Arabidopsis thaliana: one gene and its partners. The protein of the gene in region 3 interacts with the protein of the main gene of each other region in a pairwise test. Each region holds a gene or a part of one and is shown on either strand. Other genes may lie near its edges.

Region 1 (7,098 bases), 7.8 Mb from region 3:
ATATGTATACGGGAGTGTACACGTGAACGTTATCGATCGACCGAGATGGTCCAATAGTCAGTTTGTTCTTTCTTTATTATGTTTGTCGTCAACTTTATTTTATTAGGTTTTGTCATTAATAACACAAAGACCATACACTCTCTCTAATTATGTCTTTATATAAATATGATGGTCTAGTGATTTTCGTTACTGAAGTCGTATCTATTCGATTCCAAATCCGTATAATGCATGCCAACTACACAAATTTCACTCGTCCATGTTTGTGTGATATCTATTTATGTGTATATTATACACAGTTACACACATTCAATTTTATAATTTGTATCAAGTATATACGTAAACGATTGTCATGTACAGACACTCAACATACTTTAAAAAAAACTATATATCCATTTACTTTTCGAAATTTTGAAACCAAATTTATAAGAAAAACAAAATTTTAAGGGATTGAATGTTTCCAAATAGTTTGAGATGGTCCTAGAATATGAAAACAGATTTGAAAAGACACTTGATAATATTTCCTTAAACAAAAATATATATGATTTACATTAAGAAAAAAGTATTAGATTGAGAAAAAAACCTCTCAATAATATATTTTAAAAAACAAAATGAAAATATCCTACAAGTGATATTGACGAACCAACTAACTCATACATTAATAATATCTCCTTGTCCACCAATCCTCCAATCCAATCAGACAACGGTATATATAAATATCTAATTTGGTTTTTATCTAACTAAACCGTTACATAACCGAATCGGTTTTGGAAAATATGTATCGATAACTTTGGTCCTAATCTTTTAATCTCAAACAATATCATGAAGTAATTGAGCTCCCATCAAATTCCTATAAGGCAAATTCTGAACTTGATCATCATCTAACATCGACGCTGAATATTGAACCGGTCCTTCTTCAATGTGGTCTCTACCGTAGAAAAGTTGGCCACCTTGAGCCGTCACTGGAGACAACGCTAAACTCACACCACCGTTACCATCGTTACGTTGTAACCCAAGCGTCAAGGAAACGTCACCACGTGGCCCTCCTTCACCAGCGTATGTCACAGCTTGGTTACCGTACAAGGAAAAGTCAAACGTTGACCCTAACGACATCGTTCCATGGGTTGAGTTGTGACCGGATTTGGATGTAGGGTTTGTCACTATTGAGGATAAAGATTCCGGTTCGACACGGATCAACTGGTCCGGGTCCGGTTTAGTATCGATCATCATCGGGTTTGTAATCTCCATTTGTTCACTTCTTGTTTCTTCACAGTACATTTCTTCAATCATTGGTTTCCATAGCCTAACTCTTGCATTAATAAACCAATTTGATACCTAACAATTTTGGTTTATTATAACTTTAGTAAATAGGATAATAAATTTTGGAATATATCAAGAATTAGTGGAGTTATTCTTTACCTGACTTCTTGATAAACCAGTTTGTCGGGCCAATATATGCTTATCAACATCGCTCGGATATCTGAAAACAAAAATAAGAAAATTTTACTTTAATGGAAAAATATAAGACAAATGGATATGTAATTAAAAAAAAGGATATAAATGATTGAAGAATGATGCAAATAAAATGGAAGCAAAGGTAAAGGGTTTGGTGAAAACTAACAAGATGTTTCATTGTTTGAGCAGTGTTTGGGAATTGATGGAGACAAGTGTTACATATGATGATAAACATATAACTTCTGTAAATTAAATAAATAAAAAGTAGAAGAAAAAGAACAAAATAAAAACATGGAGAAAAAAGCAAGGAGTTATGTATAGTTTCTCTCTTTTGTTAGTGTTAGGTAAAGAACATTGATTCTCTCTCTCAATCCACTTTGTACCTTTCTCTATTTCTGTCTTTCATCCACCAGTTAAATTTATTTTATTTAATTTTATATGTTCGTATACATATATATACATGTGTATATGTATATGTTTGTACACTCACTTTCACACCAATAGTGCAAATGAAAGAAAAAGGAAAATAAAAAAGCTATATGCAATTAACAGATTAAGGTAGATTGTATCCTATGCTTGTCAAGTCAATCTCAATCTCTCTATATAAAATGTACATATTTTTTTACTTTTATATGTTCAAAAATATTCATGTAACAAACAAAAAAAACCTATCATACTATTTATCAACGTACTATCAATGAAATAAAATCGTTAAAGAGGTTTTATATAGCTCCATAAATATACCCAATTAACTTGTGATTCTACCTTCATTGATCACTTCAGAAAGACACAATTAGTAACTTTTAGGTATGTGTAAATATATTAAGAGGATGTATATGAAATAACTTACGGGTGAAGAAAGTGTTCAAAGAGCCAAGCTCTCAACGTTGTGACTGCGCGTTCAGGCAAGCCGCGTTGTGGACGCCAAGGATGAGCGTCAACAAGAGTCATTTGGCGATACGATTTCTGTTGCCGCAAAGCTTGATCGAGCAATCTCAACCGTGGAGTTTCTCCACGTGCTGCAATAGAAACCGCACGATTATCCTCTTCTCTCTCTCCCAAAGCTTGACTTGTTGCTTGAATCTGTCCCACAAGTCCGTCTTTTAAACACCGAAAGTGTCTTGACATTGCCCTTGACGCTAACGCAGTGTATATCTCTGCCCCTCCTAGTCCAACCGCCGCTTCAAAGGCTGCCGCCGCAACTCTCATTTGCTCTCGGTAATGTCCATATCTTCTTTTAAGCTGCCAAAAAACCGCAAAAAAACGTTACCCCACACCATTCACAAAGATTTCAATCACAATCGTGTAAATGTAGATTCTTAGAATGAGTAAATACACGAAAAAGAAACAACTCGTTATGGCTTATGATGATGAAACTGATTGCTATAAATATGGAGGACCACTAGAGTCTCCAAATTAGCTCAAAGCAAAGAAAACAAAATTATATTTTGGTTCTATAGAAAAAAAGAAATAATGAGTAAAGGAATTAAAAGGGTTGATCTTTTCGTAGTTGATACGATCGAACTTGTTTTCGACGAGAATACATGAAAGAATGAAGACAAAAAAGAATCTTTTTATCTTAATATCTAAAAGAAATTTGTAACTTTAAGAAATATATGGACCTAATCAAGAATCGAAAAAATACAAGATTTATGGGTATCTTACATATTTAGGAATAAGTTGAAACCAAATGAAAGGAAAAAAAAAAAGATTTGTAAAAGACTTGTGGGTATTTTACATTTTTAGGAATAAGTTGAAACCAAATAAAAAAGGATTAGATTTTCTAAGAAACTCATGTAAGTTTTGATAGTAGTAATGAAATAATTTCTTGAAAATATATATACCTCTTCGAGCATGGAGAGCAACTTGGCTTTTCTTTTCTGAAGTTCCATGAACTCAAGAGAGTGAAGTGGTGGAACATGTTTCTTTGAAGAAGTAGTCGCAGATTGGTCATGTTGATCATTGTTGCTGTGGTGACTTGTGTCCCACTCTTCTTGTTGTTTACCCTTTTGCTTCTTCTTATGCTTCATCATCATCACTTCTTCATCGCTTTCCTTTACTCCAAGACTGCAAAACTCACTCAGTAGCTCTTGAGCTGGACTCAAATACTTGGAACTCCCAATCTGAAACTGATGATGATTATGATGCTGATGATTGTTATTGTTGTTGTTTTGGTGGTGACTATTCATCATCATCATCATCATCTGCGTGTGTTGGAGATTCTGATGTTGTGTTGATTTATTACCGGAATACCCTTGTTGTTGTTGTTGTTGGGGTCTGAGTTCGAAAGATTGGAGACTGATGCTTGTAGGATTTGAAGAGGAGAGAGAAAGGGAAAGACCTTGGCTTGGTCTTTGTGGTGGTCTCTCATCATTTACTTCACTTGGGAAATCATTATTAACATTGCATAGTCTCATGGCAGATGAAGAATCTTCCAGAAGCTGATTCTGATCAGTACCACCACTTGTCTGATGATGATGATGATGATGATCCGAACCACTTGTCATCCTAATCTGTTGTTGCTTAGAGAAGTCTATCATCATACCCATGTTGGAGTTTGAGCCAAAGATCTGATGATTGTAATGATGATGATCGGTTGGGTTTTGGTTTGTCTCATCAAACCCTTGGATCTGATTAATCATTTGATGTTGTTGCTCTTGATGATGATGGTTATTGTGACCATAGAACTGATCTCTTGCCATGTCTCTCAAGAATTGAAAACCCAAAAAGAAGAGAAGAAAAAAGAAAACTCTTTTTGGGACAAAAACAGAAGTTTCATTAAGATCTACAAGAACCCATCTCCAAGAAAAAGTTAAAAAGAACCAATAAACAAAATAGAAAGGCAAATCTTCTCATACCATGAAAATTACAAAACTTTGTATCAGAACCAAGACAATAGAGATAGCTCCTAAAACCCTACAAGAAAGTAGTTTGCATAAAGATGTGAATTATTTTTCTTCTTATTCTTTAGGTGAAGAGGGAGAGAGAAGAGATTATAGGAGAAGATAGACGAAGAAGAATAAAAGAATTAAACAGAAGAGATATAACAGAGAGAGAGAGAAGAAAAGAGATTGTGTGGCTTCACCTCTCTCTTTGTTTTGTACTTTGACAAAATTTAATTTTTCTTTTAGTATGGGTCTGTAAATTGTACTACAGGCAAAAATAAAGAATTATAAAATGGTAAAATAAAATTAAACCTAGGAAGAGAAAAAATCAGATTGGTATCTCTTCAGAGATCAGAAGACAGGTGATCATGACCCTGCCATAGACTCTATAGCTAGCCATCAATGTTTTAATCTCTCTCTCTATATATATCTATATATATATATATATCACAAGTGGGTCAAAATGCTTTACAATTTTCAAAAGAAATATTAATATTCTTTTTATTTTATTTTTTCCCGCATATAAAATGCCTCACAATTATACATTTAATTTGTGTATTTTGGTATACGTAAGTCATAATGAAATAATGGTTTATATTTTTCTTCTTCTTTGACGTTGAATTATAAATTATTGGTCTGACCAAGAAAATACTACAGGTGTCTACCTCTATTCTTTATTTTCTTCGTTCAATTATTAAGAACCTGCTAATTCGAAAATTTAGTTTACAAAAAAAATCAAAAAGGATGGTACGTACGTACATTGGTCCAAACAGTTTAGAAAAAAAATTGATTGGATAGATAACAAATAATTAAACTGAACTAAAGAAAACAAAAATTAGAGATCCTTTGCCCGGTACACAAACTAATTATACAAGCCATCTTCATATGACATATCTCTACGTTGATTTAATTATTTATTAAACATAATTTAGTATTTAAATGTTCATATATATATATATATATGTATATATGTATTTAGTATTTTGATTTTTATTGCTGAATCCATACGTGTAATCTACGTGTATATGTATTTAGTATGTATGTAGATATGTATACAATATGTTATCTAAGAAAATGATATCAATTTTGGTGTTAGTGTCGTTTGCTAAGCTTATGTAGGCAAATTTTGTTATTAAATGAATATTTTTGGAACTACTTTTTTTTTTGGTGAAAATATTTTTTGGAACTACTTTTTAAACATTTTTATGAAGCATAGCGTATCTCAAGCAATATTTGAACATTGACGATGATTTTTAATTGAAAATAATAATATTCTAAATTTAGCCAACCAGTCACGTGAATGTACAAATTTAACTAGTATTTTGTACAAAAGGTGTCCCTTTCTATACATAAATAATCGTTATATATAATACATGTATGCCTCTGCGGCTCTGCCTATTTTGCTCCTAAAATATATTTTCTTTGTTAAAGAATTATTATCAGGTCTAATTTATAACAGAATTATTTGATGATAAATGAATTTTCAAACAAAGAAGAGAAGTTAAGTTAACTTAAAAAATGAATAACTGTGAAAAAGTTTTGCTCCTAAAATAGTTTTTTTTTTTTTTGGAGAATTAACATACCAATATATATATATATATGTTGGTGTATAGATGGAGAGGTAAGTAAATGAAAGAGAACGAATCCCAAGAAATCAAACCAGAAGTAGGAGTTGAGTTCAGGCTTTTCTCAGATATGTCTCAGTGTCACTTCTCTACTGTTTAACAATTACTATTAAATTACTATCAACCATATCATAACTATATAAACATTTTAATTAATAGTAATTATATATAGTAGAATAGAGATCGTAGTCCCGTGTAATACAACACAAATGGACTGATGTCATTATTCGACTTGCACTTCGCACAGTACGTGAAAGAGATTGTGTTTTGAGTTTTAAAATACGTTGTTGGTCGGTCACTAAACTAATCGAGAAAGTACCAAAACAAAAGTCTCCTTGTTAGTAACTGCAAGGGCGAAGAAGTTAATTATATCAAGATTTAATGGTTTTCTATTAAATTCCATTTAATATGTACGCAAAAGAAGGAAAACAAAAAATCAAAGTTTTCTTAAACATTGCTGACATACAAAATCAAATATTCAAATTTTAAATAAATGTTTCTTAAATGTTGACATAGAAAACTAATATAGTCGTTCTTCTGCTTGGCACATGTATTATTAATTGTTGTAAAAATAGTGTTTATTACAAAATTTGCAAATTTCTTTCTTTAGAATTTAGATATATACGACATCTTAACATTCAAACCATAAGTCAAACACCACATTATGAAAAACGTATAATTAATTGGCGTTACAAAAACATATCAAGAAATTAATTAATTTTAAAGAAATTAAAAATTATTTAATTAAATAGTTTTTAAGTAGGATAATCTTTGATTAGTTAACATCAAAGCCAAGTTGTAAAAGAGGACATAAAAAGATACATAGAAGAGACAAAAACAACACTGTGTTTGTAGTTATTTAACCGCTAATATTTATTAGAGTCACCCAAAAAGCTTTCTTCTTTTCATTGGATGGATAAACCAGTGAGTTTTCTTATAAATGACAAATTCGAATATAACTTATAACCAACAATATCACAAAAAATTGATATTACTTGTGTTATAGAATATTCACATTCAGTTGCTTAAATATAGTATACTATTGCTATATACGTCAAGTTCATATATTTACCAACAATTCAAAAAAAAAATCATCTATACATTCATTTTTTTGTTTCCAAATTAAATACATGTGT
Region 2 (5,657 bases), on a different chromosome or scaffold from region 3:
AAGGTTATTTGACTTTGCGTTGCTCCCTCAAATTAGCCCCGCGAATACACAGAATCCAAGCATCGTTTTGCCCGCTATTATCACTAGAGAAAGGAGAATACATAGGTTTGAATTTCAATCCTTCATTTACCTATAGTTTTGGTAATAGTAGATTCATAGGTCTCTTGAGAAGTGCAAGTCATTTTCTCCGCGTTTCTTCTTGTTTGAAACTACAGTTGCTGGAAGCGAAGACTCGAATGTCTACTTCTATGATCTAACCAAACCGAAGCACACATGTGTAAACAAGCTACAGGTTAGACAATAACTTCTTTTCTTTTTTTTTATCTGAAACTTTTGTGTATGGATTTTGAATTATAGGAAACAGGATTCACGAGTTGTGAGAAATGGATGCTTGCAGGGTCACAGGTTTCCAGTAATGTGTGTTGCGTGGAACCATGGGGAGAACTTGTTGGCTTCGTCTGATTTCTATGGTGTTGTCATTGTATGGAAAAGAGCAAAGACAAGCTCATAAGGTTTGTCTATAATATTATAAATGAATCTAAATCCGTCATTTTTGCCACAAAGGCTTTGGGTTTGGCATCATCTCTGTATCGCTAATCTCAAAACTGTGTCAATTTAGTTTCCCATCTCTTATAAAGATATAGTTCTGTGACACTCCTATGCACAGATTCAATAGCTTAAATGGTTGGAACAGACACGTCCTTAATGAGTTAATAACTCTTTCCATAGATAAGTTGGTAGACAATTTGAAGAGATCAAGTTAATTGTACTCGCAATGTTTTTTGTTTTGTCACATTATCATGAACCAGATTAATTATCAGTAAAATTAATGAAGATTACATAAACAACATTCCATTGTAGTCTAGTTGGTCAAGATACTCAGCTCTCACCCAAGAGACCCAGGTTCAACAAGTTCCGGCAAGCTGGTTCATCTAATTCTTCAGGGGACCAAATGGAATATGATACTTGGTTCTCTTAGAGAAATGTGGCTCTAGGATTATATTGAATTCAAATTATGTAACTGATGAGCATTTGGTGCTTATATTAGTGTGGAAGTGGTTGGACTAGATAATCATGCTAATAATTAAACGTATTTCAACCAGCAAAAAGAATCCGAGTGTTTTGTGTATTAATTCTTTTACTAAAAGCAATAGAATCTCAACTTCAACGTAAGTAGGGCACTAATAAAAACTTAACATTTACAATTCTCTTATTTCCCAAGCAAATATCTTCGGCGTCATGTTCATATTGGATTAATAATAATAAGAAGAAGGGTTGGTTGGTCGTCGTATATTATGAAGACACTCTTCCCTATCCACTGACTCTATCTGTCCATTGTCCAGGTCTCTCTCTCTCTTTCTCCTTCTGCCATCTCTGTCCCAATTCAGACTTCTTTCTCTTCGCTACCCATCATTTCACGTTCTTCACTTATCCACCCCAATTTACTATTTTTATTTTCTTTTCAAGTTTTTATTCTCATATTTTGAAGTGTAAATTTAAATAAAATGCTTACCTATGTTTTCCCACAAAATTAACTCTTGTGTATTTCGTAATTTTTTTTTTCATAGAAAATAACTAAATCACTTAATTCACAAAAAGTCTATTTTGGTCTCTCCATGCAAAAACTATAACCTTTCAGTGTGTTGGTAAGAAAAGGTGGTACCACCATTTTCTATCACACTAAGATATCTCACCACACATTTTAATTTGACTTACCTCTTACCACCATTTCGTACCACCTTATACTACAAATCAGACTTATTATAAAATGTCTTGGAGTTGGGATTTTCTCAATTTGTTTCTGATTCGTAATCGTAAAGTCCTCCATGACAAGATATGGACCTACACTTAGTGAAAAGAAAGTAAAAGTTAGAAAATTTGTAGAAATACCTAAAATCTGTGGGCACAAAAAGACAAAGCTAAGTGGGGAAAAAGGCCACTTATTCATTATTTATGAGAAAGAGATAAGAATATGAAGTGTTTTTTTTTTGTTTATTCCTTGCAAAAATAGTTGTATGCAAATGCAACTATATAGTAAATAGCATGTGGACCATCACAGATATTATTCGAAAGAACAAAAAAAAATCAAATGTTGAAACTTGAAAGTGAAATTTAAAGACAAAGAAGAAGAAACTGTAAAAAGCTTACCAAAAAAGTGAAATTATTTTATTGAAAAGAAGTTGAAAAAAAACATCCGTGTGTAAACTTTGACACGTCGTTACCCAAATTATTCCCCACTCTAATAAAGATGGACTAGTCTACACAAAAATTAATATTATCTTTGATTACAAATCGGACATGAAATATTTAAAAAATTGCATAGCACCAAAATTAGATATGAAAAACGTTCATTATATATTTGTCTTATTCTCCAAATATGCTTGATAAACACATTATTATAGAAGAATTACGAAAATATCTTTTACTATTGACACCAATCAGGAATATATCAAATATTTTTAGATAAGAATATAAAAAACACAGAAAATGATTGTATGGTGGTTATAGCTTCATTCAATTTTATTGCAGCAAACAAACAGAAAGGCCAGAGAGACGAAAGAGAGAGGCATTAGGGTTTAGGATTAGGTTTTAGAAAAGGGTTTAGATCTCTACCAACTGGTTTGTTAAGAACATAATCTCCTTACCACATTTTTACTCTTGAAAACATTTTGATCTGTTTTTGTTATCTTCACCAAAAGACTTGACTCCAAGAAACAAGAAGAAGAATCAAGAAGCAAGTTCAAGAACCAGCTTTTAATGAAATCTCTACTTCAAAAAGGAAACTTGCTTTAAGGAGGATGGATCTTTTGTTTTCTTGAATCTTTTGTGTGGGTAAAACATTTTGTATTATCAAGATTTTGATTTGAGGAGATAAAGAGTTTGTTGTTAAGTTTGTGTTCTTGGGATCATCAAGAGTTAAAACAAAAAAAAAAAAACATTTCTTTTTTCCTTCTTCAATTTGAGATTTAGTGTCTCCTTTAACACCCACAAAGCCAGCAGATGCTTTCCTGGTAATTCTTTAATCTATCCTTTCTTCTTCTTTTTAAATTCTTAAATTCATGCAGAGAGATAATTCTCATAATTTTCATTGGTTCAATTTCTTAAAATTTGCTTAATTAAGATTTTATTACATAATGTGAAGTATAAAAAGGGTTTAGTGTTGTTTGTGTTTGATTCTGAAACAGATGACTCCTTGTTTGATCTGATCATAAGAAGAAGAAGACTATGGCCACTTATTACAAAACTGGCTCAAGTGAGATTTATTCCAGACCAGAATTTGTCCCTGGAAACGCAATGAACTACACAAATTCTTTCACAGAGACATTTCCTAGAGATTCAACTAATAATGTGTCACCTTCAAAAGAGATTCAAGTGTTGTCAAGCCTTGGTGGAGTTTCACAAATGGTTGAGATTCAAGATTCTGGTTCTTGGAGAGATCAAGAAGACAATGACAGGAATCGCTTCCCGGTGATGAGGCGTCTTGGCCTCAGCTCGCAGATTGAGACATCGAGAGGCAATAATAACAATGAGTATGCAACACAGGTTGTTTCGGGATTTACTCGAACCATTCACAACTCAAAGTATCTCAAAGCTGCTCAAGAGCTTCTTGATGAAACTGTTAATGTTAAGAAAGCTCTAAAGCAGTTTCAGCCAGAGGGAGATAAGATTAATGAAGTGAAAGAGAAGAATCTTCAGACGAATACTGCTGAAATCCCTCAAGCAGAGAGGCAAGAATTGCAGAGCAAGTTGTCGAAACTTTTATCGATATTAGACGAGGTAATCCGCCTTACAACATATCTTCTACACTTGTTAATGATTCTCGTGGTAACATAAATGTTGTTTGTTTCTTTGTTGTTTGAAGGTGGATAGAAATTACAAGCAGTATTACCATCAGATGCAGATAGTCGTGTCGTCTTTCGATGTAATAGCCGGATGTGGAGCAGCCAAACCATACACAGCCCTTGCGCTTCAGACCATCTCGAGGCATTTCCGTTGCTTAAGGGATGCGATATCCGGACAAATCTTGGTGATAAGGAAAAGTTTAGGAGGGGAACAGGATGGATCAGATGGGAGAGGAGTGGGGATAAGCAGGTTAAGGAATGTTGATCAACAGGTAAGGCAACAAAGAGCGTTGCAGCGGTTAGGTGTGATGCAACCTCACACTTGGCGGCCTCAACGCGGTTTACCAGATTCTTCTGTTTTGGTTCTCCGTGCTTGGCTATTTGAGCATTTCCTCCACCCGTAAGTCTCTCTACTACTCTTGTGAATTTTTTGATTGACCACAAGAGACTCTGACCATTTGTTTCAAAACCTTGAGCTTAGTTATCCAAAGGATTCAGACAAGATCATGCTCGCTAGACAAACGGGGTTGAGCCGAGGCCAGGTATTGCACTGTTAGCTTTTGTGCCGTTTCTCTCATTTAATACTTTTCTTTCTGGTGTGTTCATTTTTCATTGTTTCGTTTGATGATTGTTGAAAGGTATCGAACTGGTTCATAAATGCGCGTGTGCGTCTCTGGAAACCGATGGTGGAGGAGATGTACAAGGAGGAATTCACAGATGCATTGCAGGAGAATGATCCCAACCAGTCTTCTGAAAACACACCAGAAATCACCGAGATTCAAGAGCTGCAAACTGAGTCTAGTTCCAACAATGGGCATGTACCTGGTGTGGCAAGCAGTAGCATGAGACAAAACACAGTGGCCCATGGTGGTGACCGGTTCATGATGGTGACTGACATGACAAGAAATGGTAATGGTGGGATGTCTTTAACGTTGGGGATTCAGAATTCCGATGCTCGTGGCGATGTTCCTATGTCCGGTGGGATAGATAACTACAAGAATACCATCTCGGGAACCGATCTACAGTACTTAAACTCTCGCAACCACCAGCACCAGATTGGCTCTTCACAATTGTTGCATGATTTTGTAGCTTGAGGAGAATAGAAAGGTGTAGAAATGGATTCTTTTGTGAAAGTAAACCCAAAAAACGAAATTGTAGATTAATGAGAAAACATGAGGAGACAATCTGAGATTAGACACGATCTGTTTCATATTTAAACATGAGGAGACCTAATTATATGGTTAGAGGTACATGAGATCAAATGTTTTGACATTAAAATTACACTTAAAATGCTAACAATCATTCAGAAAATTCAAAAGGATCTACCCGAAGTTATCTTATTGACAGGTTTCTAAAACCTAAGCATGTCCAAAAAGCGGAAGCACAAGTTTCTGTCTGCGTTTACCTGAAAAAAGAAGCATTAAGGAAGTTCAATAACAGAGAAATGTGAGTTGAAGAGTTATGTGTGGATCTGATCTAAACTGATTTTACCTTTTGTAGAGAACTCTTATGTCTTCTCTTAAGGCAGGACTTTCGAGGAACGTATCACCAGCTTCATCCACATCGATCGTCTCTACCTCAAAGTTTTGATATCCGCAGTACTCGTTCCACTCGAACCACATCTTTGAGATGACTTCCTTTTTGAAACAAGTGTTGTGATCCTCTTCCTCAGGTGATGACCCAGCAATCAATCTATATGCATGCACCATCTTCTTTTGTCCGGGTCGAAACGCTCGCCCAATAGCTTGGCGGGTCACAGAAGGGTTTAGGGGAACATCCAATATTAGTATGCGAGATGCTCCAACAAGCGAGATA
Region 3 (6,273 bases):
CCAAATCAAGCACAAAATGTCAGAGACGAACCGGTGGGGCGAGAGAGCGAGAGGCGGTGCGAAAGCTAGAGGAAAATGCGGGTTGGCTCCGTGATAGGGTTTGTCGCCACTGTTTCTGCTATGTGAACGGAGTCGTCGTCGGAAGATTTAAATAGGTCTTTGATTCAAAATAGCGCATTTTTAGATTGATGGGCCAGGTCCAATATCTGTCAATCGGCCCAATTTTGTAAATTGAAACGTCTAAAGTGTAAACCAGAACGTAAACCGGGTTGTATATTGAAAGCTGCAATTTGAAGAAGAAACAAAGCATAACAAGATGGTGGTGGTTATAATGATTACATGAAGACAGTTCTTTACCCTACAGTTGGTAAAAGACCTAATTTGGCTTCTCTAGTTGGTGGGTGATAACGGTAAACTTTTGAATATCACTGTGAAGCATCGTCCAAGAGACCAAAACTCCGATTATTATTTGAATTTAGAAGACTAACACATACTAATGTTAGACTTCGTTTATCAAACCATTTATACAATCCAAATGACAATTCTCTAAGTTAACAACTTTGATGTTCATTACAAAACTACTTATATGAATCTACTTTCCTAGATTTAATCTAATGTACTAATGGGCTTCTCATGAGACTAGTCTTTGAACTTTGTATGGTCCTCTAATAGAGAGGCGACCAAAATACTTAAGGACACTCTAATTATCTTTGTTAATGTGTGCAGAATCTCTCCGTGATCGATAGAAAAATCTCGCCGAAAACTTACAGTAACTTGTGGCTATCACAAACGTGACAAACGAAACAACAAGATGAGGATAAACAAACAATTTTGACTAGAAAAAAGAACACGTTTCAAATTATTACAATTACAAAAGTACGCAGCAAGCTACGTTATGTAAGATGGGGTATGTTTTATTTTTTGTCGTCATCTACCATGTATAATGTCTTTTACTTATCAAGCCAATATCACGAGTTGGAATGTGACATCGCAATAAATACTACGAACTAAGCGGATAAGAATCATAAGATGGGTTAAGTACGGTTAATGCGAAACATATACTGTATAATAGTCACATAGATTAAGCTAACCAAGTGGTGCGATACAAATTAACATATGCACCTGGTCAATGCGTAACATATACTAGTAGATTAAGAAAACTTGTGCATCCCAATGTTCTCCTCTCTCACTATCTTTATTCACAAGATATATTATGGATGATGATGATGATTATCTGATGGTTCATAAAAAAAAAACTCATGCAGACAAACAAACAAAAAACATTAAACAAAAGCCTGCATCTTCAGTTTTCATATTTTCTTTTTGGTTTGTGTGCTACTTAATAAAATATATGGGCATAATCACATAACCAAACTACGTTACTATGTAATTGCACAAAAAGTTACTTTCTAATACTGTCCCCTCTCTCTGTATAATCCAAACTCCTCCATAAAATTCTCAACTTTAAATCCCTAAAACCCTGCTTTCAAATCCCATCTTCCACCTCCCCAATTCACATCATATGTTTGTTGTTTCTACGCGAACCGCTCTCTTCCGCTATTGTCACCTGCATTGCTTTCATCAGACAAACAAAAGTTTCAGTCTTCTTTGAGTCCGATCCATAAGTTTTTCGGTTATGTTACAAGACTATATTAAAGTATAATAATACCTTTTGCGTTTGTTCTTCAATACAGTGGAAGAAGATGGATTGCTATGCCAGTTCCTCTTTCTCTGATTGATGAACCAATTGTTTATCTGTTTTAGCTGCAAACCTGTCTCTTGCACCAACCTCGCCTTATCTTCCTCCTACAAACCAATATTTGGTTATGGCTCAATGAATGAACTTGAAGAAGTTATAAAGAGATGTTAGATGAGTGAACTCACAGTAGGGTAAGGCCATTTGGAATGAGATTGCCACCAAGCTTTGAGAACAGAGGTGGTATCTCCTGGTAACTTCCCAGCTCTTCTCTTCCTTAATATCTCCTCTCTTATGTCTACTATCTTCTCCTTGTAACCCTTTTCATCAACAAGACAAAGCCCTCTACATTGTTAGTTCATGAACTAGTTCAAAGAACAAGTTTGTTGATTATTACCTGTTTGAGTTCATGTTTAAGTTCTTGTCTAACTCTTTCCATCAACGACCTCTCACTCTCAGTAGGAATCAAAGGACCAAAACCCAACACATCTAATCCCCCATCGAACATATTAGCATCACTCTCTACTTGTTCATCTTCATCGTCAGACATTGTTGCTCCCATCCCTTCTCCAGGAGACACTCCTAATCTCACCAATAAAACACAAAACTTGTCAATGTCATAAAACTAACTATTGGATTCATGAGCTAATCACAGGATTCATTTTCTCACCTGTTAAGCTTTGAAGAGACTGCTCAATCTCCCAACAAGCCATCACAGCTTCCATTGCATGAACACGCACATGTTGTTGCAATTGCTCTTTAAATGAACACAGTAGCAACACATAATGTGTCTACACCATAAAAAAAACATTAATCAAACACACAATAAACACAAAGAACAAAATTTGTATTTTCTTCATCATCATGACCATTATTATATCATAAGCTCTTTTTTTGGGATTTTAGTCTTGTTTATCCCTAAAAACACAAATCTTGATTTTAATATTTTAAGATTTCAAAAATCAAGAAACCTAAGTCGGTGTGTATTATTAAAATTTGTGCTAAGTATAATTATGAAATCGTTAATTATAAAATTATAGAACAAAAAAATCTGAAATTTATATACCATGAACTGGTCAAGTTCTTTATCGTCGCCGACGAGACCTTGAGCGGCGGCGCCTAAAGCTGAGTATTTAGCGACGACGTGTTGAGACTGAGCAAGCTGAGCATCGATTCTCGGAAGCTGATCAACCGGAGTCGCGATTCTCAAACAAGCAACGTGCGCCGACAAAAGCTGCTCGTAAAGAGGATGCGAAAGGATCTCCGCCTTGTGTCTCGCATTCTGCCAGCTCACTACTCCATCCGCCGCCGTAGCTCCTCCGCCGTCGTTTTTGTTTTCTCCACCGCCGGTTTTCATCTCTCCCTGAATCATAGTGTCTGCTCCTCCGGTGACATCATCGATCCCATCTCCGACTATGGAAGCGTTGTTGTTGTTGTTTCGTTGGAGGAAAGAGGAGGAGCGAGATAGCCACTGGTTAGCAGCGGCGGCGGCGGCGGCGGAGGAAGGAGAATCGGAGCTGCTTGCGGTTGTGGTGTTAGCGGTGGCTGTGTGGAGGTTGAGGAAGTTATTGTTGTTATCTGAGGAACGAAGAAGCGCTGTGTTTAACCAATTAGGAGGCGGTGCTTCTTGGAAATGTTGTTGCTGTTGCGGAGGAGGAGGAGGCGGTTGCGGAGGTGGAGGTTGGTGTTGGTCGGTGAAATGATTGAAGGAGAGGTCTTGTGAGAGATGATTGTGATGAAACGCCATCGTTTTGGTTTGACCTTTTTTTTTTTGTTCTTTTTGAATTTTGTTTCCTGTTTCTGAGAGGGAAAGATAAAGAAAGAAGGTGAATCTCTGCTGCTTCTATGACGACGATTGTTTCATATGTTTCAATTATCACCAAAAAAAAAAAAAAAGACACAGAAACTTTTCTTAAAATTGGAAAATAATTGGTTTTTGTGGTGTGTATGTATGTATCTGAGTATATATGTGTGGGTGTGTTCAGAGTTGCACAGAGCTGAGAGATCGAGAGATGACCATTTATTCTCATATTTATTCTTTCTTATTTTTTGCAACCTATTTATCAATATAATTGAATTATTATATGGAATTTATTAGATAAAAAAATATTCCTTCTCTATTCCTTATTATTTAATTTTTTAGAGGAAAAAAATTGTTTTAAAAAAAATAATTTTTAAATTTTCTATACATTATTTATTAGTTATTATTGATAAATTTTTAATTTTAAGATAAATAATTGAATATCATTGGTTTAGAATTATAAAAAAATATAAATCACAAAAGATAATATGTTTATAATTAGTTTTAATATGTTTTTTAATATATGTGTTTTTTTAGAAAATTAATTTAAAAAAAAAAACTGAAAGATAGTAAAAACAAAACATTTTTTTAAAAATCGCTTATGAGAACTTTTATTTGTTAAATATTTTTCTAAATGCTAATTAAAAAGTAAGACAAAAATTGATTTTTTTTGTTAAAGAAAACAAAAATTGATTTTTTTTGTTAAAGAAGACAAAAATTGATGTCACCTCGTATAATCAAATCAACTGATAAAATCTTTTTTGATTTAACTAAGAATTTGTAAACTTTCTTCTATAGTGATATTATTATTGGGGGAAAGATAAAAATCCGACATCATAAATTAACCATAGAAAGCAAAAGTATTTAATAAATCAGTACGCTACATAATAAACAGTGCATTTGAGAAAATAAGATAATTTAGTTATGGTTGACAAAAATGTATTTTTTTTTCTTTTCCAATCACTTTGGTCCACATAGACCTAAGAAAGAATAAATATAAAAGTAAGTGACTAATGAAACAACAAATAGAAGATTAGGTCACGACAGAAAATTAATTAAAGAAAGTAGGTCGTCATGGTTCGATCTATGTCGTTAAATTTTAGTGGCGACTGTATTTATTAAGATCTGACGGCTGCGAAAGGTCGTTGCCTTCTTCGACTGTGTTTGATTTTTTTTATTGTTGGGAATAATAAATGTATTTTTCCTTTTTAAAAAGAGTTGCTACGTGTTGTGTTTTAAGACGCAACGTATCTATGATATGAAGAAGCGCGTGCGTTTCACGTTCAGATGTTAGTGTAATTTTATGGCACTATGAAACAAATTTAACTTATTTATTTATACAATTATTTTTTGCTTCACGCCTTTACCTATTATAAATCCTTCTCGTTTTATGTAATGAAGTTACGAGAAATTATTGAAAACAAAAAATTTAATCATGAATTTAAAGTTACAATTTTAGGTTAAAGATTTGAAATAAAACAATCTTTTAAGAATTTATTTATATGGATTTAAAAGACCTAAGTACCAGAAAACAAATTAGCTTATTTGTTTATGCACACTATTTTTTTGCTTCACCCTTTCACCTTTTTAAAATAATAATAATCATTTCATATAATATAATTTGAGAAATCACTGGTTCTTTAAAATCACATAATTTTCTGAAATCACAGTTTTTGGTAAATATAATTTTTAGATTTTTTTTGGAGTGAAAATTTTCGTACATGCTACGAAACAGAAATTTGGTATAAAATTTGATGGTAGTATATTCGATCGTCACAATAAAAGTTATCGTATATTTTTTTATTTATTTGAGTTTGGTTAAAAACTTAAACGATCAATTAATTTAGAGATTTAAACTTAATTGTGATGAATAGCGTCCTTTTGGTAAATTTTTAGCATTTAATAAGAAGTGAGACGCAAATAGGTCTAGGTTAACTCATACTATAAATGTGTGTTAACATAGTCACATATATAACTTCATCTTTGGGCTGGTTCTTATATTATCAAAACCGTTTTTATTTAGGATTTGAATGGTTATGGCGGTTGGGGCGGATAAAACCGTCAACGGATCATACCGTTTTTTATTTATTATTTATTAATTATAGTTCGTAGTGATCTAAAAAAAATAGAAGAAAACCGCAACGGACCATCTGCAGACCATTTTTACATACAAATAAACTTGGTCTGCAACGGTTTTTTGTCTGCCAGATAAACTAAACCGCAAACAAATTATACCGGTTTGTCCACACTGCATCCATCCAAAGTCTTATTTTCAAGAAACCACTTCATCAAATGTGTCCAATCATTACATAAATCAATTTATTTTATTCACAATAGTTATGAATGTCGAGCCACATGTCATCTTACTCAACCAAAAAAACGCCGAAGTTGTCCCAAACTACACGTGTGAAACGCTGAATTTTAAACATGCACGATCATACATTACATATTATATAATTTTAGTATAATGTATGTCCATGTAGGAAAGTTTACAAAAATAAAAATTTATATAGTTTTAATCTTTTCGATTCATCATATCTCCGATTTTAATATGTACGATAGTAAAAGTAATTAGATATTCTAGATCAATGATGAAATCAACAGTTGAAGTACAATTTTCCTAGTTAGAAAAATATAGAAATTTTCTTGATGTGTATAATTGTAATTACTGATGATAACACATGTAAGTTTTATATGGTGAATTTCATCTCTCTATAATTGAATAACACATAAGTTTTTTTATATTCTCTCACATCTTTCTAAAACAAGGCATTAT

Evidence for each region. Proteins that work in one complex are often made in the same cells at the same time.
Region 1: the proteins of KNAT3 (region 3) and BEL1 interact in binary tests that used the Arabidopsis thaliana proteins (3 or more experiments, as listed by UniProt).
Region 2: the proteins of KNAT3 (region 3) and BLH7 interact in binary tests that used the Arabidopsis thaliana proteins (3 or more experiments, as listed by UniProt).

Annotation. Positions count from the first base shown.
Region 1 is NC_003076.8:16,577,480-16,584,577, reverse strand, and holds BEL1 (POX (plant homeobox) family protein), read right to left. Parts: upstream 4,643-7,098; 5' UTR 4,155-4,642; coding exon 3,297-4,154; intron 2,695-3,296; coding exon 2,303-2,694; intron 1,478-2,302; coding exon 1,417-1,477; intron 1,333-1,416; coding exon 808-1,332; 3' UTR 501-807; downstream 1-500. UniProt on the Arabidopsis thaliana protein: Plays a major role in ovule patterning and in determination of integument identity via its interaction with MADS-box factors. Formation of complex with AG-SEP dimers negatively regulates the carpel identity process and favors the maintenance of ovule identity.
Region 2 is NC_003071.7:7,100,769-7,106,425, reverse strand, and holds BLH7 (BEL1-like homeodomain 7), read left to right. Parts: upstream 1-2,497; 5' UTR 2,498-3,011; intron 3,012-3,185; 5' UTR 3,186-3,225; coding exon 3,226-3,777; intron 3,778-3,862; coding exon 3,863-4,242; intron 4,243-4,323; coding exon 4,324-4,384; intron 4,385-4,480; coding exon 4,481-4,936; 3' UTR 4,937-5,157; downstream 5,158-5,657. Other genes in the region: AT2G16405 (Transducin/WD40 repeat-like superfamily protein), read left to right, coding at 1-105, 216-292, 398-511; DRD1 (SNF2 domain-containing protein / helicase domain-containing protein), read right to left, coding at 5,244-5,247, 5,334-5,657.
Region 3 is NC_003076.8:8,733,378-8,739,650, reverse strand, and holds KNAT3 (homeobox protein knotted-1-like 3), read right to left. Parts: upstream 3,708-6,273; 5' UTR 3,444-3,707; coding exon 2,763-3,443; intron 2,488-2,762; coding exon 2,367-2,487; intron 2,279-2,366; coding exon 2,094-2,278; intron 2,017-2,093; coding exon 1,885-2,016; intron 1,807-1,884; coding exon 1,670-1,806; intron 1,576-1,669; coding exon 1,536-1,575; 3' UTR 1,050-1,535; downstream 1-1,049.